Stegostoma tigrinum: one gene and its partner. The protein of the gene in region 2 purifies or fractionates together with the protein of the main gene of each other region. This does not show direct contact. Links are inferred from orthologs where the notes say so. Each region holds a gene or a part of one and is shown on either strand. Other genes may lie near its edges.

Region 1 (15,248 bases), on a different chromosome or scaffold from region 2:
TCAGTTGGTGTGAAAATCCAGTTCACCAGTGTCTTTTAGGGAATAAAACTGCATTCTTTACCTGCTCTGGCCTACACGTGACTATTAACCCTCAATGTCATTGACTCCTAACTGCTTTCTGAAGTAACCCTAGCAAGCCACTCAGTTCAAGAGCACTTACAGAAGGGCAGCTAATAAGCCCAGAGGGTTATTGAGGCTGGATCATTACATTTATTCAAGGCTAAGATAGGCAGGATTTTAAATCAGCAAATGAATCACAGGTTATGGGGATAAGTTAGGAAAGTGGTGCTACATAGAACATTACAGCACAGAACAGTCCCTTCAGCCCTTGATGTTGTGCTGACCTGTCATACCAATCTCAAGCCCATCTAACCTACACTATTCCATGTACGTCCATATGCTTATCCAATGACGACTTAAATGTACCTAATGTTGGCGAATCTACTACCGTTGCAAGCAAAGCGTTCCATTCCCTTATTACTCTGAGTAAAGAAACTACCTCTGACATCTGTCCTATATCTTTCACCCCTCAATTTAAAGCTATGCTCGCCGTCACCATCCTAGGAAAAAGGCTCTCCCTATCCACCCTATCTAACCCTCTGATTATTTTACATGTTTCAATTAAGTCACCTCTCAACCTTCTTCTCTCTAATGAAAACAGCCTCAAGTCCCTCAGCCTTTCCTCGTAAGACCTTCCCTCTATACCAGGCAACATCCTAGTGAATCTCCTCTGCACCCTTTCCAAAGCTTCCACATCTTTCTTATAATGCGGTGACCAGAACTGTACACAATATTCCAAGTGCAGCCACACCAGAGTTTTGTACTGCTTCACCGTAACCTCTTGGTTCCGGAACTCGATCCCTCTATTAATAAAAGCTAAAACACTGTACGCCTTCTTAACAGCCCTGTCAACCTGGGTGGCAACTTTCAAGGATCTGTGTACATGGACACCGAGATATCTCTGCTCATCTGCACTACTAAGAATCTTACCATTAGCCCAGTACTTTGCCTTCCCATTACTCCTACCAAAGTGCATCATCACCTCATACTTGTCTGCATTAAACTCCATTTGCCACTTCTCAGTGAGGACTATTAGCTCAGCCATGATCTCATTGAATGGCAGTTGACTCGACGGGCAGAATGGCTTACTTCTTAGCCCATGGTCTAAATATTGACCTTGGTAGCAGCGCCTACATCCTAAGAAAAAGAAAGGCGGCTCTTGTGGTGCAATGATTCTATCCCTACCTTTGGATGAAAAGGCCCAAGTTCCTAACATTTTGAACAGGTTGATTAGATAGGTTATAAAACGGTCCAAAGAAGAAAAAGAACCTGGTTCCACTATTCATAACTCTTTCAAAATCACATCTGAAAACATATCTCTCCAGTTGTGTCTATAATTGACTCTCCTAACTTCTAAGTACTTGCTCTGCTTAAATGGCTATACTATCACTCAATCACTAGAAGTTTGAGAGTTCACTCCCAGCGAGTTGAGAAGATTTGTAGCTCAGGTTGAGTTTTGGGATGTGAGTTTGCTCGCTGAGCTGGAAGGTTAGTTTTCAGATGTTTCGTCACCATTCTAGGTAAACACCAGTGAGCCTCCGAATAAACGCTGGTGTTATGTCCTGCTTTCTATTTAGATAGGTGGTGACGTCATTTCCTGTACATCCATCCTGGGACAAGCCAAACAGAGACACGCACGAGAATTCCTAAAAGCATGGCATTCCAACCAGAACTCCATCAACAAACACATTTGGAGCCAATGTGTTTGTTGATGGAGTTCTGGTTGGAATGCCATGCTTTTAGGAATTCTCGTGCGTGTCTCTGTTTGGCTTGTCTTAGGATGGATGTGCAGGAAATGACGTCACCACCTATCTAAACAGAAAGCAGGACATAACACCAGCATTTATTCGGAGGCTCACTGATGGTGTTTACCTAGAATGGTGACGAAACATCTGAAAACTAACCTTCCAGCTCAGCGAGCAAACTCACATCCAGAGTTCACTCCCAGTTGTAGAATGGTAGCACTTAATCCAGGTTAACACATCATGCAATGCTAAGGAAAAATTGTAATCTTCCCACATAATTTAGCTTTAGTCCAGGCATCGTATGAGTCATTGAAGTAATCAATAGCAGGGTCTTGGTTCAATGTAGAAAGGTTCTGTGCGCCATTCAAAGAGGATATTTTCCAATTGCTGCTCTCAAGTTTCCTCGATGAGCATTAAAAAAAATTAATAACTAATTTAATTTTTTTGTGGAACTCCATTGTGTACAAATTGTTTAAAATCTAGAAAAGAAATTCATTAGATCTGAAGATTTTTGGAACAATAGGACGAAGTGATTTGCATTATCTTGACTTTCATATATTGAAGGTTCAACATGGATAGCGTGTATAAAACTATTTTGAGATAATTGAAACTTAGAGGACGAGAGAAAGAACAAAAATATTTATTGATGAAAACAAAACTAAATTAGCTAAAAACTCACATTTCCAATTCTCTAATCACTTAGGACTTACCTGCTCACCAAAGTAAATGCAGTCGAGTTCAGTAAGTAATTTGACAAGGGCCCTTTTCTCAGAATGTTTGAAACCGGTTAACTGTATTATAGGATTCTGTGCTAGTCCAGCCATCTGTGCAACAAAAATATAATTACTGGAGACAAGCAAATGTCAAATGTGTCTGGAAGTGGAAGAACATTAAAAAAAATTCAAACGTACAGATAACCTGACCACTCCGGGTTCATACAGATTAGAAACTTTTGGGAGCAATTTCTGAGCTAGGGATCAGATTTAAGGTCTACAGTCCCGCCACATTCAGCTGTGCATAGTGGTGGATAAGTAAAACGATGGACAGGTAGAGGTTCCACAAATATCCCCATCTTCAAAAGTGTTAGGGGTATATGGCGGGAAGCATTTTAATCAGTCGCAGGCCAGAAGTACCAAGTGGATGGCGATGGACTAATGGTATTAATGCTAGACAACTAATCCTGAGACACAGGCATTATTCTGGGGAGTTGAGTTCAAATCCTGCCATGGCAGAGGTGGAATGTGAATTCAATAAAAATCTGGAATTAAGATTCTAATGATGATCATGAAACCATGACCAATTGTCAGGTAAACCCATCGAGCTCACTAATGCCGCCATCCTTATTGATCTGGCCTGTATGTGACTCCAGTAATGCGGTTGATTCTTAACAGCCCTCTGGGCAATTAGGGCTGGGCAGTAAATGTTGACCCAACAAGCAATGCCCACAACCCATGAACATATATGAAAATTCAAATTGCACACTGGTTCTTACTGCAAGAAGACTGGAATAAAATCTCGATATAATTGCCTTGGTGATTCAACTGCTTTGTGTCTAGAAATGTTTAAGGAAGAAAATGCTTATATTGGAGCCAGGATGATATTAAAGGTTATTTGTTCAGTCAAGGGACAGTTACCTGAGTTGGTTGGATAGCCAGTTTGTGATGCAGTTGCCAGTGTGGCTGCGCTCATCACGAAGGGGTCTCCTTCTCAACATCTCCCCTAACCAGAGGTTGGTGATCCTCAGGTTAAAGCTCACCATGTTGTGGAGGTTTGGACTAGTGTGGGCAAAGTCAGAAGTCACAACACCAGGTTACAGTCCAACAGGTTTATTTGGAATCATCCAAGCTTTCAGAGTGCAGCCCCTTCGTCAGGAGAGCACACAGGCGCATCTTGAGGGAGGGAGGGAGGCCTAAAATGGCTGACTGACTGCCTCCTGTTGAATCTTTAATTATTCATAGATTCCTGCATTCTAGAAATTTCAGAAGTAGGGTACGGAAAACTCTGTTAGAAAGGAAACGTAAATTTTGATTGATTAAGATGCAAATTCCAGAATTTGTTTTAAGTCACTGTCCCGGGATAATTAAAGTTTGCATCAGTGTCTGACTAACTTTCCAAACTTCAGAGTCAGAAGTCACACAACACCAGGTTATAGTCCTTCAGGTTTACTGGGATTCACACAAGCTCTCAGAGTGCGGTCCCTTCACCACATGCAGTGAGACAGCAAGGCACACAGACACACTCTCTCTACACACATGCGTACATGCACAAACAAATCTATGGGGTAGAATAATTTCATTCAAGATCTTTGCTTATCTGCACGTACATTCTATTTTGCTCAAAAAATTGCATTCACAGTCAGTGTGGCATCTTATAAATTCCAGCTTTCAGAATAAAACCAACCTGATTCCAGGTTAAAAATCAGATTCTGAACAAAGTCTCAGACCCACAATTCAGTGTCTGACCTGATATGTCAGCTTTTGTACATTCCTATGGATCTGTCTGATTGTCATGACAGCACAGTTCTGACACTGACTTTATAAACATTTTACACACTGTATAAAACTCATGGTCACCAGAGGCATATCATCTGCCACTCCACTCACACCAGTGAGAGATCTTTGGATTTTGTTGCCCTTCATCTCTGTTTGTGTGCCCTACTCTCTCACTGCACCTGACGAAGGGGCTGCACTCTGAAAGCTTGAGAGACTCCAAATAAACTTGGAGTATAACCTGGTGTCTTGTGACTTCTAACTTTAAACAATCACTAGTCATCTCTCTCAATGAGACAGCAATTCCATGCCCCAACAAAGCTATAGAGTTTTTACCTTCACCTTTGTTTAACGAATGGACGAAGTGAATCATTCTATGATGAAAAGCTGACTAAATTGGGTAGTGGCTCAGTGGTCAGCACTGGTACCTTACAGTGCCAGGGACCCGGATTCAATTCTATCCTCGGGTAACTGTGCAAACTCCATACCGACATTCTCCGTGTTGGTGTGGTTTTCTTTCAGGTGTTCTGGTTTCTTCTCCCAATCCAAAGATGTGCATATTAGATGGGTTGGCTATGCTAAATTGCCCACAGTGTCTCGGGTGGAAAATGCAGGGATAGGGCAGGGGGTGGGTCAAGGTAGACGCTCTTCAAAAGGTTCACTTGGGTGTGATGGGCTGAATGGTCTGCTCCCACACTATATAGAGATTCTATGAAGTTTGGGCTGCACTTCTAGTATGTACAGAATATGAAGTAATCTTACTGAAAAACATTCAAGATTCCAAAGTGAACAGGACAGACATCAATAATTATTGCTCCTGGCAGAAGAATATAGAAAGAGGCATTGCATCAGAAGGGAACTCAATCATTGAGGACTGAGGTGAAGATTTCAGAAATGTCTTACAGAAGACTAATACAGTTCAAATAGATCCTTCAGCCCAACTCATCCACTTGCACCAAGTTTCCCCAAACGTAACTAGCCCCATTTGCCTCAAAACCTTTGTTATCCATGTACTTGTCTGAATTTCTTTTAAATGTTGTAATTGTACTCGCTTCAACCACTTCTTCTGACAGCTCATTGCTCTTCAGGTCCCTTTTAAATCTTTTCCCTCTCACCTTAGAACTATGCATTATAGTTTTGGACTCCTCTACCTTGGGGAGACGACTTTGGCTATTCGTCTAGTTTACGCTCCTCATGATTTTATAATGCTCTCTCTCAGCCTCCTTTGCTCCAAGGAAAGATGTCCCAGCCTATCAGTCTCTCCTCAACTCAAACCCTCCACTTTTGGAAACATCCCTGTAAATCGGTTTTGTGCCCTTTCCTGTTTAATCACACCCTTCCTATCGCAAGGCAACTAGAATCGTAAGTAGTACTCCAAATGTGCCCGTACCAATGTAACACGATGTCTCAACTGCTGCAGTTAACGCCCTGACGACGAAGGCAAGCATACCAAACACTTCCGTCAGCATTCTGTCTGCCTAAGACTTTTGTGCTCCGAAGATGCTGCTTGGCCTGCTGTGTTCATCCAGCTGCACACTTTGTTATCTCACTTCAAATGAACTGTGTACTTGCGCCCCAAAGTCTCTGTTCAACAACATTCCCCCGTGGCCCTACTAATGACTGTGCAAGTTCTGTCCTGGGTTGTCTTACCAAAGTGCGACACCACTTTATCCTAACTTTACTGAGAGAACTGGAAAGTTTTGAAACATCGTACTTCCAAGCGTTATGGATTTTTAAAAAAAAAAATCAGAGCTCACTTAAGGCTGGCATCCAATTTTGCTCTGCTGGGGATTTCAAGGATGGCAGGCGGGAAGAATGAAGTAGGTGATCAGGGCTGATCATGGTGAGAGGCGAAAAAGCTGGAGGGATCGTTGGTCACTTCGTGCTTTCCCGAACTTCTAATCGGGTCAAGTGATGAGAAAAGTACAGATGACCGCTTCAGGCCAACAGTGCCAGCGGCAGTCGAGCGATAGGCTCAAAGTAGGAAAAGTCAGAGTTAATTAGGGAAAGGGTGTGTTCAGAAGCTCATCACAGAGTCAAGTATTGCACCAGGCTTACAAACAATCTCGTTAAAGTTTCCACACTTGTTAAGAAAATTGATGGAACCCGTGACCAAGGAATTTAGAAGAGTAAGAAAGGAAGCATACTCCCCGGTCTTAAACTGTACACAATTTAAAAGAAACCAAATTCAATGTTAACTGAATATTTGCAAACAGAAATCTACAAAACTCTGTGCAACATTACCTCTACGTTTATAAACACGTACGACCCGTCCTCACGTTTACACCGAAGTTCCCTAAACTTCCCAAACTCACGTAAAGCACACGATTGGCGGGGATCATTAAGAGTGAGTGAATGAACTGCCGACACTGTAGAACGCGCTCAAAAAGTCACGTTGCCTCAACTCGCGCGCAGATTAAAACTGGCTGTCCAGAGCCAAACCGCCGACAATTCCCACCGTCTCGACTACTCTAAACATTGAAAACCAAGATACCTACACAGCAATTAGAAAATAAAACAGAATACACTCTTAAGCTGCAGCTAAATCTAGACGGTGTTACTGATTTGAGGCAATTGTGCGTTCCATGAGCTTTGTCATTAGTACTGACTGTTAAGATCTCCAACACCCCCCCACCCCGGGACAAGGGGTAGTACAGCCTGGTCACGTGTAATCTGGCGTCTCGCAGTGACGTAGCCTTGTACGTCTCCGAGTGACACGTTGGTAAACAGATCGGTGAACTGGAGTGACGGGAATCTAGGGTAAGGCCTCAGCATCTTTTGTAAATGAAGATTATAAATTTAAAGTATTTCTGCTACGTTATTTTCACTTCTTCCCTTTGTGCCAGTTTATTGCACAACATTAACGAGGCACTGAGGGATTGGTGTCGTTTCACTTCACTGAGCGTGACTTGCGGCACAAACACAGAATGATGTTAGAAACTCAGCAAGTCTAGCAGCGTTTGTGGAGCGATAAACGGAGTTAATGTTTCGAGTCCAGTGTGACTGTTCTTCATTCTCTACGTTTGTTTCAGATTTCCAGCATCCACAGTATTTTGCTTTTATTTGAGTTGCAGCGATGTTTGGCCTATTGCTGCGGTAATCTTCACGTTCCAATTCAAACCTCTACATGGACAGATAGTGAATATAGTCTTATTATTTACAAGCAAAGCTAGATTATTTTTCAGCTGCCGAGGTGACCATTCATTTTGGTATTTGGTTTGTTTTGTTATTACCTAAAGTAATGATACAAGGTCGTTGCTCGACGTTCGCAGTTGTCAAGTCAGAGAGACATACAGCAATGGAAACCGAGGCTTCAGTCCAACTCCATGCCGACCAGATATCATTGATACATCTAGTCCAATTTGCCAGCATTTGGCCCGTGTTCCTCTAAACCCTCCTATTCATATACCCGTCGGGATGCCTTTTAAACGTTGTATTTGTATCAGCTTCCATCACTTCTTTTGGCACCTAATTTCATACACGCAACACGCTCTGCTTGAAAAAGTTGCCCCTGAGATCCCTTTTAAATATTTCCTCTTTCACCTTAAACCTATGCCCCTTAGTTTTTGACCCCCCACCCGAAAAAGACCTTTTCTATTTACTTTATCCATGCCCCTCGTAATTTTGTGAACGTCTATAAAGCCACCTCTCAGCTTTCAATGTTCCAGGGAATATAGTCCCAGCCTATTCAGCTTCTCCCTATAATTTAAACCCTCCGACCATGGCAACATCCTTGGAGATCTTTTCTGAACCCTTTCAAGTTTCACAACATCCTTTCTATAACAGGGTGACCAGAATTGTGCACAAGTATGACAAAAGTCTGTGAATTTTGAGAAGATTTGTAGCTCAGGTTGAGTTTCTGGATGTGTTTGCTCGCTAAGCTGGAAGGTTAGTTTTCAGACATTGTCACTTTTTTTAAAATTTGAAAAAATATACTTTATTCATAGAATGTAGAAAAAATAAAACATTTATACACCTACCCAGTCATGCAAGCCGCTCTGGGATACCCAGGGGGTATGTAGACCAACTAAAGGAAAAAACAAAACAAAGAAGAAAAAAAACAAAGCAAAGAAAATACCCCGGCAGTCGTCTCCCCGCACAGTCCCCGTTGGCCCCCTGACCAGTTGGGGAAGGTGCCAACTGGGCCCAGTTACCAGATAGGGCCCTTTTTTCTATTCTGGACGAGGAGTTTCATACGGTGGTCTTTCCCCACCGCGCCTCGGCAGCGGCTGCCCCAAGCTTTAGCGCGTCCCTCAGCACATAGTCCTGGACCTTGGACTGCGCCAGTCTGCAACACTCGGTCGGGTCAGTTCTTTCAGCTGGCAGACCACCAAGTTGCGGGCAGTCCAAAGAGCATCTTTCACTGCATTGATGGTCCTCCAGGCGCAGTTGATGTTGGGCTCGGCATGCATCCTGGGAATCAGCCCGCAGAGCACGGAGTCCCGTGTCACGGAGCTGCTCGGGACGAACCTCGACCAATACCACTGCATCCCCCTCCAGACCTCCTGTGCATAGGCACACTCCAGAAGGAGGTGATCGACAGTCTCGTCCCCCCTGCAGCCGCCTCAAGGGCACAGTGCGGTGACGCAGAGATTCCGGGCGTGCATAAAGGATCTTACTGGCAGAGCCCCTCTCACCGCCAGCCAAGCAATGTCCTTGTGCTTGTTAGAAAGTTCTGGTGATGAGGCATTCTGCCAAACGACTTTGGCAGTCTGCGTGGGGAACCACACGACGGGATCCAGCCTCTCCTTTTCCCGAGGGGTCTCGAGGATACTACGTGCTTACCACTGCCTGACGGCCTTGTAGTCAAAGATGTTTCCTTACAAAAATTTCTCCACGAAGGACAGGTGGTACAGGATGGTCCAACTACTCGGAGCGTTCCGTGGCAACGAGGTCAGGCCCATCCTTTGCAACACCGGGAACAGGTAGAACCTCAGTAAGTAGTGATACTTGGTGTTTGCATACTGAGGATCTACGCACAGCTTGATGCAGCTGCACACAAAGGTAGCCGTCAGGGCGAGGGTGGCGTTCGGTTCGCCCTTTCCCCCATTTCCCAGGTCTTTGTACATGGCGTCCCTGCGGACCCGGTCCATCCTCGACCCCCAAATGAAGTGGAAGATGGACCGGGTGACCGCAGCAGCGCAGGTCCAGGGAATAGGCCAGGCCTGCGCCACATACAACAGTACCGAAAGCCCCTTGCACCTGACAACCAGGTTCTTACCCGCGATGGAGAGGGACCGGAGCGTCCACCTGCCCAGCTTCTGCTTCAGTTTGGTGATAAGCTCCTCCCAAGTCTTAGTGCACGCTCCAGCTCCACCAAACCAAACACCCAGCACCTTCAGGTAGTCTGCCCTGACGGTGAAGGGGATGAAGGAGCAGTCGTCCCAGTTCCCGAAGAACATGGCCTCGCTCTTACCCCTATTGACTTTGGCACCCGAGGCCAGTTCAAACTGGCTGCAGATGTCCAACAGCCTACTCACCGACCGACGATCGGTGCAGAAAACGGTGACATCGTTCATGTAAAGGGAGGTCTTGACCTGAAGGCCTCCGCTGCCTGGGATAGTCACGCCCTTCAGGCTCACGTCCTTCCTGATGGATGCAGCTAAGGGCTCCACACAGCACCCGAACAAGGCAGGAGAGAGCGGGCAGCCCTGCCTGACTCCAGATCTGACGGGAAAACTGTCCGATTCCCACCTGTTGATCGAGACTGCGCTAACGATGTTGGTGTAGAGCAGCCGGATCCAATTGCGGATGCCTTCCCCGAACCCCAATTTGGAGAGGACGTCCCTCATGTAAGCATGAGAGACTCTGTTGAAGGCCTTCTCCTGGTCCAGGCTGATGAGGCAGGTGTCCACCCGCCTGTCCTGCACGTAGGCGATCGTATCCCTGATGAGCGCGAGGCTCTCAGCGATCTTCCTGCCTGGCACAGCACAGGTTTGGTCAAGATGAATCACCGACTCCAGGACAGACCTGACCCGGTTGGCTATGACCTTGGCCAGGATTTTGTAGTCCACGTTCAATAGTGAAATCGGACGCCAATTCTTAATTTCTTCCGTCTCCCCCTTCCTCTTGTAAATGAGGGTGATGATGCCCTTCCTCATGGACTTGCACATTTCCCCTGCCCAAAGCGCACTATCATACACCTCCAGCAGGTCCTGACCGACCAGGTCCCACAGAGCGGAATACAGCTCGACCGGTAAGCCGTCGCTCCCGGGAGTCTTATTCCTCTCAAAGGATTTGAGGGCTCTGGTCAGCTTGTCCAGGGATATCGGCTGGTCCAGCCACTCCCTCGTGCTATCGTCTAAGACCTCTGTGATAGACGACAGGAACGACTTGGAGGCCGTGTTGTCCGTGCTTGGTGTCCTTCACCGTGCCCATCAGGAATCTGGATGTGACGTCCTGTTAACTCCCCCACCCGCTGTCCCCACGCTGGATCATCCATCTGCATCGATGATGCAGTTGAAGTCTCCGCCTAGGATGACCGGCCTGGACGTAGCCAGCAGGGATGGAAGGCGCTGCAGGACGGCCACCCGCTCACTCCGTACCGCTTGGGCGTACATGTTGATCAGCCTCAGGGGAGTGTACCTGTAGGTGACATCAACCACTAGGAGGTGCCCCCCCCCCCACCACCTCCTGAACTTGAGAGATGGTGAAGTTGCGCCCCCGCAGCAGAATAGCCAGGCCCAAGGAGCGACAGTCATCACCCCCCGACCAGGTCGAAGGCCCACAGGTCCAGGCACCCGACCATATCCCATACCTGCCGAGGTGCGGTATCCCACACTCCTGCAGAAACAGGAGGTCTGCCTTGACGGTGGTCAGGTAGGCCAACGTGGACACACGTCTTGTGGTGGACTTGACGCTGCGCACATTAACGCTCGCAACTTGTACCCCCATTGTGGGCAGTGACCTCGAGTCCAAGGTCCAGCCCCTCCATCTGTCCCTTCATGCCCATTGCCTGGGCGAACTGCTGGACGGCCTCCGGGCCAAGGAAACCGTCTGTGCTGCCTTCCGGGTGGCATCCCCCCCTCAGCAGTATGGAGTCAGGAGAGTCCGGCTCTGGGTCAGGTTGGGGGCACGTTTCCTGCATCCCACCTGCAGGTTCCAGGGGGCCCTCCAGGGCCCCAGCAGTGCGTGGCTGGGTGTCGGAGGGAACCTCAGGACACCTCCCGTCCCCTGGAAGCGGGCTGCTGCTTTCCTTCTCAGTGGAAGTCTTCAGCTTCTGCTTTGGGCGGGCCTCCTCCGAATCCCCCTCATCAGGGGAGCTCTTATAGCCCCCCTGTAGCTGCCTCTTCCCGCCTGATGTTTGCGGAGCTGGGGCCACAGCGCGCCTTCCTCCTCACCTTCCGGACCGTCGTCCACTTCCCTGGGTCACCTGTCACCTCCTCCATTGACTCCGGGTTGTCGGGGGGGAGCGGGGAGGGGAGCGGAGCCTGCAGGGCGCTTTGCTGGCCTCGGGTCCACCCTGCGGGGCTGGTCCCTCCTACACAACCTAGCCCTCCTGCACACGAAGGGGTGGTCCTTGCAGTGGCCTGGTGCCTTCCTCTCCTGGGCGTAGGTAGTCCCCTGCTGCGGGCATGCCCTATGGATGTGGCCCGCTTTCCCACAAAGGTTGCAGCTTTTTTCCTTTGGGCAATCCTTTGCAAGGTGTCCCTCCTCCCTGCAGATGGTGACTTTGCAGTCAGCCACCACGTGACCTGACCTACCACAGGCATAGCAGACTTTGGGTTGCCCTGCGTAGGTCAGGTAGCCCTTGCTCCCGCCAATCGCGAAGCTGGACAGTGGGTGTATGATGTTCCCATCTGCACCCGTCCTCAGCGTCACCCTGACCTGTCTCTTACTTGTCCAGATCCCGAAGGGGTCCATTATGTTGGTTCGGTCCCCTTCCACCTTCACGTACCTTCCAAGGAAGGTCAGGACATCAGCTGCTGGCACATGCGGGTTGTACATGTGTACAGTGACCATACGGCTCCTCTGCACCAGCATCACGAACAGCAGGACAGCGGTCAGTACAGAGAAGGGGCCCTCACCTCCTTTTTCCTTGAAAACCTCCAGGAAGCACTCGCAAAGCTTGGCGCTCCTGAAGGTTACATCGTAGAAACCTCCTCCGGGGAAATCCTGCAGGCAGTAAATGTCCGCAGCAGCGAACCCACCACAGTCCAATAGGACCTTCTTCACGAAGAAGGTGCGGTCCACAGGTGCACCTTCATCCACCTTCTTCACGGAAACGCGGATGGTGTTCTGGACCCCCTGACCTGGGGCACGAGCACTTGCCGCAGCCATCGTTGCAGGTTGGCTGCTCCCCTGAACCAGCGTTAGTCCGAAGCCAGCATTAAGATCCACTGGTCGCAAGGGTGCACAGCCAACCCGACGTCCTCCTTTCACCTCCAACACAGCACTCCCCTCCTCTCGGTCCACAAGAGAGTGGGTCTTTATTTTGTTCCAGATGTAAGCTGGTTCACTGAGCTGGAAGGTTTATTCCCAGACAATCTGTCACCATTCTAGGTAACATCATCAGTGAGCCTCCAGTGAAGCATTGGTGTTATTTCCCGCTTTCTATTTATCTGTTTAGGTTTCCTTGTGTTTGGTGATGTCATTTCCTGTGTTGGTGATGTCATTTCCTGTTCTTTTTCACAGAGGATGGTCAATTGATAAGGAGCCAATGTGTTTGTTGATGGAGTTCCGGTTGGAATGCCATCCTTCTAGGAATTCTCGTGCGTGTCTCTGTTTGGCTTGTCCTAGGATGAATGTGTTGTCCCAGTTCCGAAATGACTGCCAGACTACTCGGACATCTTGGCGTCAGGGTAGCCCACAAACCCACCAACACACTAAAACAGCAGCTAATGAACTTAAAAGACCCTGTACAGACCACAAGCAAAACGAACATCATCTACAAAATACCTTGCAAGAACTGTGACAAACACTACATTGGACAAACAGGCAGAAAGCTAGCCACCAGGATACATGAACATCAACTAGCCACAAAATGACATGACCCACTATCACTAGTATCCTTACATACAGATGAGGAAGGACACCACTTTGATTGGGACAATACATCCATCCTAGGACAAGCCAAACAGAGACACGCACGAGAATTCCTAGAAGCGTGCCATTCCAACCGGACCTCCATCAACAAACACATTGGCTCCAAATCAATCTACCATGCTCTGAGAAAAAGAATAGGAAATGACATCACCAACCCAAGGAAACCTAAACAGATAAATAGAAAGCGGGACATAACACCAGCACTTCATCGGAGGCTCACTGATGATGTTACCTAGAATGGTGACGAAACGTCTGAAAGCTAACCTTCCAGCTCAGCGAACAAACTCACATCCACAAAAGTCTGTGTTATATATGTTTTTATAAAGTTACCTAGGTTTCCTTCAGCTTTGAACATAGTTGAAATAACTGAAGCAGAACTGTGTGCATGACAGTTGAATTTTGCTGTCCAAAATAAATTTGTCACTGAATTCCTTATCAAGACATTGGAATTAAAAAATACTGTATCCAACGTTCCCCTTTCTACCTTTGGTAAACATGAGGTCATCGAAAACTCTGTTCCCCAAATCCTAACTCAGCAGCAAGTCCTATGTTGTTGGATTTACATTCAATTTCATTTAACCAACACCTGTTTTATTTTAATAAAAAGCAAACTATGTAGGATGCTGAAAACCTGAAACAAACACAACACTGGAGAAACTCGGCAGGTCAGGCAGCATCTTTGAAGAGGAATAGAGTTAATGTTTCAAGACTAACATGACTTCTTCAGAATTATTTCTCTCCACAGATACTGATGGACCTGGTTTCTCAAGTTCTCTTTGTGTTCGAATCTCTCTGTGGCCTTCATCCTCCTTCCTTCCTTCAATTGCCTTTAAACTTAAAACATCCAGAATTTCCACTCACATCCAATTCTGGCTGTATGTGCATTTTTTTTTGTTCCACCATCATGGGGGCAAAATCTTTTGCTGCCAAACTCAGGATGCACAAATTTCTGTCAAATCCCCTTGAGTCTCCTCCCTTGCCTCCTGAGATAGATCCCATCAGGCTCTGGGGACTTATTTCAAGACACCCAACCCCACCTTCTTGTTAATATTGACAGTTGAACGAACAGTGAATTTGGGGAAAAAAAACTTCTGTATGCAGTGAGAGAATGGTATCTTCCACTGCTTTAAAGTGTGATAGAAGTAGATTCAATTGTGCTTTCAAAAGGGAATCGGATAAACATGTTCATCTGCCATTGTGTTGAAGGCTTTTGCATTCAGTGGGATATTTGTACCTGATGATGCAATCCTTTTTAATTTCCTGTAACTTAAAACTAGGTGCGATATGTAATAGTGAATGATTTAATGGATGTTTATTACAGCTGCTGGTATACACAAATATTACAGTAATAGGCACTTTATTGTTTTGGTTATACTAAGCTATTTGGTTAAAAGCAACTGCACCTTTATATTAGTTTCATCCTTCAAGTGGCGCAAGTTAAGATGGAGATATTACATGCAATGATGCAGTGATGATGTCATGATATATCACTTTATCTCTTAAAGGTATGCTGTGAGACATAACACATCTTAAAAGGAAAAATGCTAGGGAAATAGGAAAGGGCAAGGAAACAGGTGACGTTTTGTAAAGAACTTGTATAGACATGACAGGCTTGGTCAGAGGGGGACTATACTGTGATGTAACAAAATCAATGTGATGAATTTATTAGTTTTTTTTCATTTGATAACATTCTATTTCGTTGAGTCAATGCAGTTCTGCTGCACTGACTTCCTTTTTCATTCAGAAACAGAAGTGGGACATTTACTACAAACCTCAGATACTCATTCAAGAATGGGTTTCAAAATTGTGTGTGAATGATTTGTGAAAATAATTAAGCCATTTACAGAATGTTTTTAGCTACATTTCATGCTGTGGGATGATCAGATTTGTTTAAGGGCAGAAATGATTT
Region 2 (15,479 bases):
CAATTTCTCGACTGAGCAAGTGAACTTTCCCCTCAGTCAGTGCACTGCTGCAGTGTAACTTGGAGCCTGGGAATGATCTTGGAATGCCACAGAGATTTACTGAACTGATTTCCTTTTGTTTCATCTCATCCTGTGGTCCCATTTTCCTTGGCAAACTCACCAGTCCCCCCACATCTAGAAGCAGTCTCCATGAGACTCCTGCTTGATGGGCATTTCTTTGCATTGTGTGTGCGCCATGAAGTTGGATGAAGCTCCATGACAGTGACTCCACTCCAGGACACATCAGTACTGTTTTCCACTGTCCAGGTCCATTTTACAAATGATCATTTTGAACTGATAAAATACAAGTGCCAATATTAGAGATGACCCTGAGGAATCTGGGAGAATAAAGGCAAAACAAAAAACGAGGAAAGAAAAACAGCAGGTCAAAATATTGCTTGGGCAACAATTGCTAAGGATTGAGGAAATATCATAGTCCAAAGCATAACTGAAATGTGGCTTAACCTGATCTGGAGGACTAGAGATTACTCAGTTTGCCAAGAAAAATGGGACTGCAAGATGGAACAATAAGAAATTAGTTCAATAAATCTTTTTCTGGCATTCCCAGATCATTCCCAATCTCCAAGTTACACTGCTACAGTGGATTGACCAAGGAGTAAGCTCACTGTCACTTGCTCAGTCAAGAAACTGTGAGAAGGAGTATGTTATATCACGAAATACCAGACCAAGTCATCTGATACAACGCACAGAAAAGCAACAGTCTGGCACATTATTTCAGAAATATATCAAGTGTAAGTCTGTCCTGACGGTAACTCCACATTTTCTTGCTCGGTATTTATCTCCAGCCAGCAGCACGACTCTTGTGCTCCAATGTCATGGCTTTCTACTGCTTTATTCCTAACAATGGAATTACCAATTCCTCGCCATATTCATGGCATCCAAGAATCTTCCAGCCCAGAACGCAGCCAGTCTGCCCATCACAACCAGACACTCACCGACTCCCCCCCACCACAATAAGATCAGACCCTCACCAATTTGTTCCCAACCAGAGCAGATACGATGATTATTTGTTGGGGAGTCGGTGAGTGTCTGTTGACAACGTTCAGTGACCACGTCACAATCTGACTGTTGTCAAACCCGAGTGACTCGCACTAATGTTCCTTAAAGGCAGTGCACTGTGCACACTAGGTCTGCAAGTATGTGTCACTTCAGAACTACACAAATGGGGTTGACTCCCAGCTTTGCTCCAAAATGGACTAGCAAGCCATTCAGTTGCATCAAAATCCCTACCAAACAAAAGAGCCTCAGAAATAGTTCAAAAAGGTAGGTCACGGCCACCACCATTTGGGCTTGCCAGGGATGCCCATATCCCTATAGTGAATAAGAAGAGCAAACCAGGGTTGGGGAAGCAGCAAACCCATGTCAGGAGGTACATGACAGGACAATCATGCAGAGGCTGGGCAAAATAGAGCCATGGGATTGCAGGATAGAAATGTTAAAATGCAGGGAATTTGGAAGGACTCAATATGTTGAAAATCCGGGAGAGGATCCAGGTTTCAGAATTCTTATTTCAATCAGAGTAAATGGAGCATGGAAGCAGGAGGCTTTGACAAGACTGGAGAAGTTGAGATGAAAAAGGCACAAATTGGAGTTTTGGCTGCAATAGTGCAGCAAAAAGGACAGGCAGCGCTTCAGGGGAGAACAATCCTGGCAACACATCACATGTGAGGGAGTTTAACTGGAGTGAAACCTGCCAGTGCATCAGGTTTAGCCTGAGGTAAAGAAGCAGGGAGCATGACAGATCTGAGGCCAGAAGCACGTAGGTTCTGGGCTCATCCAAGACTAACAATGGTCTGCCTGAGTAACATTTGACTGAAGGAAGTTAAAAGTCAGCTCACTCTTCCCCAACACCAAAGGTACAGAGCGATACAGAACATAGTTTGGCTTCAATTAATTCTAATTGCACACTTGATTCCCATAAGACAAACGAAATAAAGCTCATAGGCTGCCAAAAGTTATAGTTTTATTCCACAAACAAAAGGCAATACACCAGAGAAAAACACTCTACATTCTGTCAGGGGGATAAGTTCGTTTTGAATAACAGGCTGCTCAACTCAGACAGATTTCACAATAATTTGGTTGCCTGGCTGAACTTCTATTGAGTAGTCTCACAAGCAAACTTTTTAAAGGTGGAGCCGGTGATTTGACAAGCAGAATTCACAGATTAACGACATACTGTCTGCACCATAAATCATCAGGATGTTCCACCTCAGGCTCAGAAGCAGACAGGAGCTTGATAAAGTGAGGAATCACAGTTCTCATGAGAGGTTTCATTTGAAGTGGTGGAAAATGTTCAAATTTTTTTCATTCTTACTTCAAAATTGTAGTTACAGTTCAGACATAAAATGTATTTTTGGTGGGAGTTTTAACGGATTTGTTGAGATTTGTAGTTGTATATTTTGTGAGAAGCTAAAAAATCATTGCAGAATTAACTATGCAAAATTCTGATTAACTGTGCTTACACAGTAAGGCAAGTCCAGTACAGGCTATCATGGACTGGGCTACAGTCTGCATGGGTTCCCTCTGCATGCTCCAAGTTCCTCCCACAGTTCAGAGATGCACAGGTTAGGTGGATTGACCAGGTTAAACTACCCATAGCGTCCCAGGATGTGCAGGCTAGGTGGGTTAGTCATAGGAAATGCAGGGTTACAGGAATAGGGTTGAGAAAGGGGTATGTCTGGGTGAGATGTTCTTCAGAGGGTCAGTGTTGACTCGCTTACACGCTGTAGGGATTCTAATGGTTTTATGGTCTAGCTCCGAAAAGGGACAAGAAAGTCAAGCATGGGGCAAGGAGGAGAAGCAGCATGAAAACCACTTCATTTCTAAACCACTGCACAGTATGATTATAAAGCAATACCCAGAAGGGCTGCGATAGTGCCCAAAGTTCCAGAGGGGTGGTTAAAACAGGCAGATCCACCCCCTCCACCACTCCTAACGAAAATTCACTTATAGGGCCAATCAAACCTTGTAAATAGAAATATGACCAACAGTGAACCAATTAATAGCAAACACAAGAAAAACAACCTGTAACGGAGTAACAGCAAGGAGGCTACGTAAATGCTGTCGACAAGGAAGTTGTTAGGGAGACCGCAGGGAGGTGGGGAGAGGCCGAAAATCAGTTGAGAGAGGGAGACCACAGTAATGGGAAGGGAATACTCATAACTCAAAGGCTTAAAATCACTGAAGCAACGAATGACTTATAAATGAATGTGGTATCTCTAGTTCAAGGCTGCATATGTTCAGAACCTAACTGACAGTGGGAAATGTGTATGCCAATAAGGTGAACATGGTCCAATGTTAAATTTAAATGAGATGGTGATCCAAGATGCAGCGAAAAGTGTCTGCCAGGTCAAAATGTCCAGCTTTGTACATAAATAGTAGAAACAAATTTGCTCTAACCTCTCTAATCTACAATAGGTCTGCTTTAGGTTATGGTTGTGTGGCTGAAGTGGGCATCAATTATTTCCATTGCTAACTTACGTCTGTTGTCTTGGGCATATTTAATTTCAGTGTTATTTAATGTTTTCCTTCTGCATTATGGGTTTAAGTTTCACAGGGTTGACGACTATTGAGAATATTGCTGAATTGTTCTAATTCTAAGTCCAAATAATTTAATGAGAATGAAAATGCAACTTCTGAAAATCAAGAAGTAACCCCAGAAAAACAAACAGTAACGATCAAGAGGTGCCCTCAAAAGAAATGTTGTACCCTGCTGTGACTAAAAGTGAACTGTTCATTATATCTCGCAGAGCAGGAGCACTGACTCACCATACCATCAAACCATCAAGCGTTTCAAACTCGCTTCACTAACTAACTCCATGATAGTAAAATGGTAGTTTTCTGAGTTTTTAACATCTCTCAGCCTCCATACTACCTTTCCCTCATATTATGAAGTTTTTTTGTGTTTGCCAAACACTTCTTCGGGGATGTAACCTAGTGACTTAGGGAAGCCCCGTGCTGATGGTGTCCAGCGCAATCTTCCTTCTCTGCCTTCACTTTCCCTTATCTCAATACAAGAAAATTCTAGGGTCGGCGGAGAGCATCATTTGCTGGACCCCCCTATCCTTGTGGGCACCTGCTTCATGTTGTTGTCGCTACAGAATGTTGCTTTAATGGATTAGCAACCATTGTTGTCCAACTGCAGTGCGTTCAGACTGAGGATGCTTAGGGGTCAGATGTTGGTCAAAGGTAAATTGTAACATCCCATTGGTGATCACTGGCTGAACTTGGGCATCTGAATGATATGGAAGTAGCTGCAGTGTTATCATGAAATGTCCATACTGGCTGAAGGGAACAACTGCTCACGCTACCTCCACAGGTCCTGGGTGCGAGGCACACATTGCGTCGTCTGTCATGTTTGTGTGACAATGCTGTGGTCTGAATGCTGTGTTTAGTTGAGTGTTTAATGGGGGTGCAGAGTTGGCTAGGTGTCGGAGCAGCTGCAGATATTTCCTTGTCAATGACATGGGGTAACCACTCATCAAGTTGCTGCCCAGATTAAACCTGAAAGTGGATAGATGGTGGAGATATGTCGCTCATTATTGGGTGCAGTGTATGCAGCCATCATCTGCAGGGAATTGCACCAATGACGGCCAAGCTCCGATACAATGCTGCCTGCATTTCCCCACCGTGGATCAAAAGGTGGAGCTACTGAAAAGGTGGTTCTGCTGCTTGGACCAGTCAGGGAATAACTCTCCAGTCTAGTCCAAACAGAGTCTGTCCCATCATCCTGCGCTCTGCACAACTGCAGTGGGCAACAAGACCAGAACAAGGCCATAAGCTGGATGCTGAGGAACTGGGGGAATAGGTGAAACCTTCTGAAGAGGACAACATGGGGGAGTAGGAAACTGATGCTCTCCATGATGGAGCTCAGCTGCGTTTGGTGTAACGAGCCAGACAGAACCTGCCTGACACCTAGTTCCAGTAGACGAAAGTTGGGTGAATTAGACAATGGCCAATTTCAAACTATTTTGGTCATATTGTTGAAAACTGGTTGGCATCGTAGGAGCTCAGCCTTCAGTTTTGTCCCCTTTTGCTTTTTGTAAATAATGACTCTATTAAAGCTCAGGGTTTGACTTTGTATTCATCCAGTTGCTCGCCTGTTTGTGACGTTTCACAACTGGGCAATGCCAAGATTCAGTTCTACTGTGGGCACCAGAGTAGGGCAACACTGACGTTAGTCATGGCATTCAGGCAGGAGGTAGCTACGGGCAGGAAAAGTGTGTAGCATGGTAGTTAAGCAGCGCCAGAGATGACAGATTGTCGATGTACAAGGGAGGGTCAGCCATGCCAGCCTTGTGCCAAGAGCAGTGTAGCTGCTGTGCCATTGCACTGCCAGAGACAGTCAAATACTTGTCTGGTCCTTTAGAGACGGTGCAGGCACCAGCAATGCTGGAGTGTCAGTGGAAGTCCACCGAGTAGCAAGTTGCTGTGGAAACAGCGGGCGGCAAGTTTGGGGTGGAAATTGGAAAATGGCAAAGGAGCAGGGTAGGTGGTTGACAAGGCAGCTTTGTAAGACAGTGAGAAATCTCACAAGGTTCCATGACGAGTAACCCTCCAAAAGGCAAAACTCAACGCAACTCTGACATAGCCAAATTCAGCCAACTGTTTCTGCTCAGATCTTATTGGTGCTGCCTGCCACGTCTACTGTTGCATTATATCACACAAGTCTGTCTTGTCCCACACACATACAGTCATCGTAGGCCATCTGCAGCCACAGTGCACACCAACAATCATCTGAAACATACCTGCCTAAATCAATGCTCGTTACATGTTACACAGGGAGCAGTTTAAAACTTCTTTCACAACTCTACAGAAATGTGCTGCACTGGTGAAAACATCTCAGCCAGCAGTATTAGGATGGTGGCATGCAGAATACTTACAATTATGCGAACAGTGAGGGATCATCATGGCAATATTGAAGTATTCAAAACAGATACCACAGCGTAAGAGGTTATCCATGGCCTGGAAGAGAAAGACGATTCGTCAAGTCCAAACTTGCCATCCTAAACAGAGTTGTCACCTTAACCCAGACTATACATTGCCAATCCAAATCAAGTGTAGGCCTGTGGAGATGGGTAATCAAGATTTCCGCTAATCATTTTACTGTACTGACTAAGAGCAGAACACAGATCCTATGGGATCAAAATGGAAAGCGCGCGCAATCCACTCAGCACCTCACAATTAATCAGTATAAATCTTGTCTGAACTTCAGTTGTTGTTACATCAGAAAATAGGTCAGTTAACCATCCTCATCCACAAACACCTTCCCCCCCCCATACTCTCTTTCTCATCCTAAGTCTTTCCCGCACTGGCATTCAGCACGGGGCACCCCTTCCTCTGTCGTTCCCTCCCTCAGTTTCAATCTCTCCCTCTCTCTCACCTTCAGTCTCTCCCACATTTTTCTCGAATTCAGAGCAAAACGCGCGCGCTGGCTACAGCCGGAAGCACGTCATCAGCAGCTGAGCGCGAGCGCTTTCCGGTTAGTTGCCACGGGGGATCCCGATTCCCAGAATAGCCTGCACCCTACGCCGCCCTCCCCAGCTTCCCGACAGACGGCGCGCTGCACCCTCCAATCCGTACCCCCGACAAACTGCAGCAGCTTCCCCCATCAAACCATGCAAACTCTCCCAATAAACCCCGCATCATGCAAACTGCACTCCGCTATCAAACCATGCAAACACCCTGAAACCACCCCCTGCATCATGTAAATTGGACCTCCCCCAAAACTCCCCTGCATCATGAAAACTAGACAGCGTCAATCAAACCATGCAAACTCCCCTGAAACCCCCCTGCATGATGCAAACTACACTCCCCATCAAACCAAGCAAACTGCCCCCACCCCAAAACTCTCCCATTAAACCATGCAAACACCCCTGAATCATGCAAACTCCCCAATAACTCCTGCATCATGCAAGCTATAGCCCCCAAATCAAACCATGCGAACTCCCTCGAAACCTCCTGCATCATGCAAACTACACCCCCTTCAAACCATGCAAACTTCCCCCAAAGCCCACTGCACCATGCAAACTGCAGCCCCCATCAAACCATGCAAACTCCCCTGAAGCCCTCTGCATCATGCAAACTACACCAGCCATCAAACCATGCAAACTCCCCCAATAACCCCTGCATCATGCAAACTACAGCTCCCCCATCAAACCATGCAAACTCCCCTGAAATCTCCCCTGCATCATGTAAACTACACCCCCATCAAACCATGAAAACTGCCCCCACCCCGAAACCTCCCCCCCACATCATGCGAACTAAACCCCGATCCCCCAAACTGCATCCTTCTAATTGCAACTCTGAAACCTGGCACCATGCAAAACTGCATTCCCCAAAGAGTGTTAATGGGAACTGCAGATGCTGGAGAATCCAAGACAACAAAATGTGAGGCTGGATGAACACAGCAGGCCCAGCAGCATCTCAGGAGCACAAAAGCTGACGTTTTGGGCCTAAACCTCTCTGATGAAGGGTCTAGGCCCAAAACGTCAGCTTTTGTGCTCTGAGATGCTGCTGGGCCTGCTGTGTTCATCCAGCCTAACATTTTGTTCCCCAAACAGTGTACTCTTCAAACTTGCATCGCTTAAACAATGCACCGTACAATCTGCAACTTTCGCTCCTAAACGCTGAAAGCTTTTCTCCCCACACCGGACACTATGCAACCTTTCACTGCACTGCGCAGCATGTAAACTTCACTGCTCACGATTGCCATAGTGCAACCTTATTTGCCCACGTTGGCGTCATTCAATCTTCACATCTTGCACGGGGCAATCTTCAGGTTTTTTTTAGATTGGGTACTGTGCAAGCTCCACTCCCTTACTTAGTCAATGTGCAACTTTCATCCCTTTGCATTGGGCTCTGTGCAATCTTCACTTCCTGCACTTGGCAGCGTATAACCTTCATGTCTGGGATCATTGTGTAACTTTGGCTGTCCACTTTTACATCTTGTATCCTTTGCTTCCCAAGTGGGTACCTTCACGACACTGCACTGCACATAATCACCACTATGCAAGCTTGACTACCAGTGCTATGCAACTTTCACTTCCCTGTTCTGTCCACCTTCCAAATTTTATTTCCTTGCATTGATCACCATGCAACTGTGACTCCTTGCATTGGGCTCTGTACAATATTCACACACCTGCACTGGGCAACATGCAGCCTTTGTCCCCCTGCATTGGGCAGTATGGAACATTCACTACCCACAATCCTCACTGTGCAAGCTCAACTCCCCAGTTTGGCACCCTGCAAACTTCACTGACTGTTTGTGCACTATGCAATCTTCAATTCCCTGCACTGAGTACCATGCAATCTTAATTTCTTGTATAGGGCACCTTACAGTTTTCATTTCCCCAGTACTGGGCATCAAACAACCTTCACTACATGAGCAGCTGTACAACCTTCATTCTCCTGAATTGGGTACTGTGTGAAGCCTCACTCCCATTCATTGGTCACCATGCTTGATTTTGGAATTATTGCCATCTGCTACTATGCACAGTCCTAAATTCAAAAAATGAATTGAAGGAGAATGGCCAATCAACATTTCCATCCCATCAGCACACAACAACAAAAGATCAGAATAAAGCGAAGAATAGCCCTTCAAGAAAAACTGTCCAAAATCACCTACATCAATACACAGACAACAGATTCATGGGTTAAGAACATCTCAGACCAACTATTTACAGATACTGAGAAGACCGTCCTAGTACGTGGACTGAAACATAACTACAGAGATGCCAAAAAAGACTGGCTTCCTGGCTGGGCTGGAATCAACACTAAAGAACAACGGACTCACAGAAAAAATACAACAGACTGTCAGACAGACAAGAGTCCCAACCCTGAACAAAAAGGAAAATGGAACACACAAGAGAGGAAAGCCCTGGAAAGGCTCAAGAAAGGCAGGAACATTGTAATCTTACCAGCAGACAAAGGATGCATGACAGTAATCTTTAATACAACTCAATACATCGAGAAAGTTAATGCATTACTAGCAGATACCAACACCTATCAACAGATGGCGACAGAACTGCCACCACAATTAGGAGGTAGGAGGAACTGCAGATGCTGGACAGTCTGAGATAACAAGATGTAGAGCTGGATGAACACAGCAGGCCAAACAGCATCAGAGGAGCAGAAAGGCTGACGTTTTGGGCCATTTCTGAAGAAGGGTCTAGGCCTGAAACGTCAACCTTCCTGTTCCTCTGTTGCTGCTTGGCCTGCTGTGTTCATCCAGCTCAACACCTGGTTACCACAATTAGGAAACCAGATTACACCAAACCTGAAGAACTTATCCAACTCAGGAGACATCAGCAAGACACACAACCAAAAAAATGAAGCCAGAGGGATCCAACACACCCCGATACTACAGATTCAACCAAGGTACACAAGCCGGGGGTCCCCCTCAGACCCGTCACTGCCAGGTACACCAACATATAGACTTGAAATACTTAGTGGACAACAATACCCTCTCATTTACTCATCCCAAGAATTCTTCAACATCTCGAAGGTCACCAGGATAGATGAGTATGAGATGATGATATTGTCCAACATAACAGCACTATTTACATCCATAAACATCGACCTAGCCAAAGAAACAATTGCCACACTGCTGGATGAATCAAGTAAGCAGGCAACCCAGGACACCAACAACATCAATGAGGACACCACCATGAAACTACTGGATCTGTGCCTCACAACCCACTTTACCTTCAATGACAACATATACAAACAAATCAACGGAACACCAATGGGATCCCCAATGTCAGGACTGATTGCAGGAGCAGTAATGCAAAGGTTAGAATGGACAGCGCTCACCATTATATAACCCAAACTTTAGGTCCCAAATGTAGGTGTTATTATTATCAAGCATACTAAACTGGAAGAAACCCACGAACACTTAATCAACACCCTCCCTGTGACAAAATCCATGAAAGAAGAAGAGAGCAACAATCAACCACCCTTCCTGCATATAATGGCAGAACACAAAAACAAGGGGGAACTCCAGATTAGTGTATATAGAAAGACCACACATACAGGCCAAATACTCATTTACACTAGCAACAACCCCAACATTCACAAACGGAGCTGCATCAGGACACTATTTAAGTGAGCCACAATACATTGCAGCAACCCTACATGAAGGAGCTACATGAAGCAGAACAGGAACACATATATGAACTCTTAAAAAAAATACCCAAAAAGCACATTACCATTACCTCCAAAACAGGTGACAACAGGTAGACACAACATGACCAGAATCATTTATCACCCTCTCATACATCTGGGACATTTCAGAGCAGCCCACAAGACTACTCAGACCCCCAGGTATCAGAACTGCCCATAAACTGACAACCACCCAACAACAGCCACTGACAAACGTGAAGGATTCCATACCCAAAACTAGCAAGCTGGGGTAATATACAAAGTACCATGCAAGGACTGTGAGAAACACCACATGGGCCAAATCCGAAAAAAATTTACTGTATAGATACATTAATACCAACTAGCCACCAAGAGATACGACCAACCCTCAAGTGTCACGCCATACACGGACAACGAGGGATACGAATTCAAATGGGACAACACATTGATAGTTGCACAAGCCAGAGACACACCAGGGAATTCCCAGAGACCTGGAATTCCAACCGGAACTCCATTAACAAACACACTGAATTAGTCCCTGTGTACAAACCACCGAGAAACAAAACTGAAAGTAATACCAACCACCCCAGCAAACTGAGACATAGAAATAACAGGTGGGGCAGAACACCGATGCTTCATGGGAGGCGCACTGACAATGTTACCTAGCAGGCTGACAAAACATTTGCATCCAAACCTACTGGCTCGGCGAGCATGTCTACAACTTCATTTCCATCCCCATTGAGAGAAGATCCCAACAGGTGAGTGCAAAAGATCTTCAGTTATAAGTGCCAAATAATCAGTTCAGGCCCGCTTCTGAAGTCCCAATCAGTACAAAAGCCAGTCTTCAGCTAATTTACTTTACTCCACATTATAGCAGCAAACACTTGAGTACACTGGATATAAGGAACTGCACAGTGGCTCAATGGTTAGTACAGTGCCACGGACCTAGGTTCGATTCCAGCCCTGGTTGACTATCTGTGTGGAGTTTGCACATTCTCTCCATGTCTGCGTGGGTTTCCTCCGGGGACACCGGTTTCCCACCCACAATCTGAAGATGTGCAGGTTAAGTGGATTTTCCTGGCTAAAGTGTCCAGCGATACGTAGGCTAGGTGGATTAGCAGGGCAAAGAGAGGGTTTCAAGGACAGGGTAGGGTGTCAGGTCTGGGAATGATGCTCTTCAGAGGGTTGGTGTGGATTCAATGGGCCAAATGGCTTACTTCCACACTGTAGAGTTCTACGTATCCATAAAAAACAATGGGCTATGACAGTGTCCCAGCAACAATAATGAACATCTATTCTCCAGAAGTATTGTGGTCATAAATTAGTCTGTTTCAGTACAGCTATAATGTGGGTATCTGCCAAACGATCAGCAAGTTACACAGGGATGTCCTATCCACAAACAAAAAAGTCCATTTGGCTCCCAAACCCATTACAGCTGCAGGAGTTCCTCAGGTGATGTCCTAGGCTCCAGCATCTTCAGCTGCTTTGTCAAAAACCTTCACTCCACCATAAGGTCAGAGGTGGTGGAGCTGTTTGCTGATGATTGTATAATATTCAGTTCCATTCCTCTGATATTGGAGCAGTCAGTCCTGCCCTGGAGCAAACGGAGCAGCATTCACACTTGGGTTGCTAAGTGGCAAGTAGCATCTGTGTCATGCAAGTGGCAGGCAATGACCATATCTCAAATGGAGAACACAACCATCTCCTCTTGACATTCTACAGCATTGCTATCACTGAATTCCCACATCTTCAACATCCTTAGGTTTTGTATGAATGGAATAACTCTGACTCGGAAATCCTGATCAGAACCAATCTGTACCTGAACTTCATAGATCAAAACCAGCAGCAGCAAACCATTTTGGTTTTAATTTCTGAAGTATCTAGAATGCTGCCTGGCACAAGAAAAGAACTGGGGCTGTTTTCAATTCAACTGTGGAGATTAAGACTTGATTTGATACTGATATTTGATCCTGTGAAGGATATAACAGAATAATTCAAAATACTCTGCAGTGATTAAATAGTCTAGAAGGTTTTGAAGATGTAAGGTTAAATAGAAGTGATCGAGAATGGAAAACAAGAGGAATGTAAATTGTAGCGCAGAGATAGACTGCGGAATAAACTGCCAGAGTTATTGATTCAAGCAGAGATCAGATCAACTTTTAAGCATAGATGAGATAGTTGGTTGAAGGAAAGCAAAATATATGGGAACAGGGATAATGGGAACTGCAGATGCTGGAGATTCCAAGATAACAAAGTGTGGAGCTGGATGAACACAGCAGGCCAAGCAGCATCTCAGGAGCACAAAAGCTGACGTTTCGGGCCTAGACCCTTCATCAGAGAGGGGGATGGGGAGAGGGAACTGGAATAAATAGGGCGAGAGGGGGAGGTGGACCGAAGATGGAGAGAAAACAAAATAGGTAGAGAGGAGAGTGTAGGTGGGGAGGTAGGGAGGGGATAGGTCAGTCCAGGGAAGACAGACAGGTCAAGGAGGCGGGATGAGGTGGTAGGTAGGAAATGGAGGTGCAGCTTGAGGTGGGAGGAAGGGATGGGTGAGAGTAAGAACAGGTTAGGGAAGCAGAGACAGGCTGGGCTGGTTTTGGGATGCAGTGGGGGGAGGGGACGAGCTGGGCTGGTTGTGTGATGCAGTGGGGAGAGGGGAAAAACTGGGCTGGTTTTGGGATGCAGTAGGGGAAGGGGAGATTTTGAAGCTTGTGAAGTCCACATTGATACCATTGGGCTGCAGGGTTCCCAAGTGGAATATGAGTTGCTGTTCCTGCAACCTTCGGGTGACATCATCGTGGCACTGCAGGAGGTCCATGACGGACATGTCGTCTGAGAAATGGGAGGGGGAGTTGAAATGGTTCGCGACTGGGAGGTGCAGTTGTTTGTTGCGAACCAAGCAGAGGTGTTCTGCAAAGCGGTCCCCAAGCCTCCGCTTGGTTTCCCCAATGTAGAGGAAGCCACACTGGTGCAATGGATACAATATACCACATTCGCAGATGTGCAGGTGAACATCTGCATGATATGGAAGGTCATCCTGGGGCCTGGGTTGGGGGTGAGGGAGGAGGTGTGGGGGCAAGTGTAGCACTTCCGGCCACTCCAACACAATACACCTGTATTCCTCATGCAGATGGCCTCAAGGCCCTCCGCTTCTTCCTGTCCCGCAGGCCCGACCAATCCCCCTCCACCGACACCCTCATCCGCCTCGCCGAACTCGTCCTCACCCTCAACAACTTCTCTTTCGATTCCTCCCACTTCCTACAGACAAAGTGGGTGGCCATGGGTACCCGCATGGGGCCCAGCTATGCCTGCCTCCTTGTAGGTTACGTGGAACAGTCCCTCTTCCGCACCTACACAGGCCCCAAACCCCACCTCTTCCTCCATTACATTGATGACTGTATCGGCGCCGCCTCTTGCTCCCCAGAGGAGCTCAAACAGTTCATCCACTTTACTAACACCTTCCACCCCAACCTCAAGTTCACCTGGGCCATCTCCAACACATCCCTCACCTTCCTGGACCTCTCAGTCTCCATCTCAGGTAACCAGCTAGAAACTGATATCCATTTCAAGCCCACTGACTCCCACAGCTATCTAAAATACACCTCCTCCCACCCACCCTCCTGCAAAAATTCCATCCCCTATTCCCAATCCCTCCGCCTCCGCCGCATCTGCTCCCACGATGAGGCATTCCACTCCCGCACATCCCAGATGTCGATGTTCTTCCAGGACCGCAACTTTCCCACCGCAGTGGTCGAGAACGCCCATGACCGCGTCTCCCGCATTTCCCGCAACACATCCATCATACCCCGCCCCCGCCACAACCGCCCCCAGAGGATTCCCCTCGTCCTCACATACCACCCCACCAACCTCCAGATACAACATATCCTCCTCCGACACTTCCGCCATCTATAATCCGACCCCACCACCCAAGCCATTTTTCCATCCCCACCCTTGTCTGCCTTCCGGAGAGACCACTCTCCGTGACTCCCTTGTTCGCTCCACATTCCCCTCCAACCCCACCAGACCCGGCACCTTCCCCTGCAACCGCAGGAAGTGCTACACTTGCCCCCACACCTCCATCCTAACCCCCATCCCAGGCCCCAGGATGACCTTCCATATCAAGCAGATGTTCACCTGCACATCTGCCAATGTGGTATATTGTATCCATTGCACCCAGTGTGGCTTCCTCTATATTGGGGAAACCAAGCGGAGGCTTGGGGACCGCTTTGCAGAACACCTCCGCTCGGTTCGCAATAAACAACTGCACCTCCCAGTCGCAAACCATTTCAACTCCCCCTCCCATTCCTCAGACGACATGTCCATCATGGGCCTCCTGCATTGCCGCAATGATGCCACCCGAAGGTTGCAGGAACAGCAACTCATATTCCGCTCGAGAACCCTGCAGCCCAATGTGGACTTCACAAGCTTCAAAATCTCCCCTTCCCCCACTGCATCCCAAAACCAACCCAGTTCGTTCCCTCCTCCCCCCACTGCATCACACAACCAGCCCAGCTCGTCCCCTCCCTCCACTATATCCCAAAACCAGCCCAGCCTGTCTCTGCTTCCCTAACCTGTTCTTCCTCTCACCCATCCCTTCCTCCCATCTCAAGCTGCACCTCCATTTCCTACCTACGACCTCAACCCGCCTCCTTGACCTGTCTGTCTTCCCTGGACTGACCTATCCCCTCCCTACCTCCACACCTATACTCTCCTCTCTACCTATCTTGTTTTCTCTCCATCTTCGGTCCGCCTTCCCTTCTCTCCCTATTTATTCCAGTTCCCTCTCTCCATCCCCCTCTCAGATGAAGGGTCTAGGCCTGAAACGTCAGCTTTTGTGCTCCTGAGGTGCTGCTTGGCCTGCTGTGTTCATCCAGCTCCACACTTTGTTATATGGGAACAGGTCCAGTCCAGGAGACTGACATTCCAGCTTTAGTGGAGAGTAAGTTCCAACATAAATAATTAGAGTAGACCAGTAAAGTTTCTGCACTGTGATTTCTAAGTAATGTTGACAAATACCTAGATTAGCATCTGGTTGGGAACAACGCAGAAGGCTACAAAAACAATTGGGTTGAGGCAATATATATATAGCTTTACGTACATTGCCTGTAAACAAATAAAAGGAATTGCAATGAAACATTATGGTTCTGCGTGAGAATAAAAGATCTATTTTGCCTAAGAAAAGTACCTCACTTAAGACATGTCATGAGAAATTAAAGATTTGATAATGATGCTCAAGTTTTTAACTTATGAACAGGAGGCAACTTAGCTGAAACTTTCTT

The links.
Region 1: the proteins of rad18 (region 2) and slf1 purify together in Homo sapiens (affinity purification with mass spectrometry; 4 studies listed by BioGRID and IntAct, with this or other methods). This does not show direct contact. The link is inferred for Stegostoma tigrinum from reciprocal best matches to the Homo sapiens genes RAD18 and SLF1.

Annotation. Positions count from the first base shown.
Region 1 is NC_081356.1:89,486,059-89,501,306, forward strand, and holds the start of slf1 (SMC5-SMC6 complex localization factor protein 1), read right to left. Parts: upstream 6,891-15,248; 5' UTR 6,539-6,890; intron 2,630-6,538; coding exon 2,516-2,629; intron 1-2,515. UniProt on the Homo sapiens protein: Plays a role in the DNA damage response (DDR) pathway by regulating postreplication repair of UV-damaged DNA and genomic stability maintenance.
Region 2 is NC_081364.1:59,455,045-59,470,523, reverse strand, and holds the start of rad18 (E3 ubiquitin-protein ligase RAD18), read right to left. Parts: upstream 6,505-15,479; 5' UTR 6,461-6,504; coding exon 6,443-6,460; intron 6,025-6,442; coding exon 5,943-6,024; intron 1-5,942. UniProt on the Homo sapiens protein: E3 ubiquitin-protein ligase involved in postreplication repair of UV-damaged DNA. Postreplication repair functions in gap-filling of a daughter strand on replication of damaged DNA.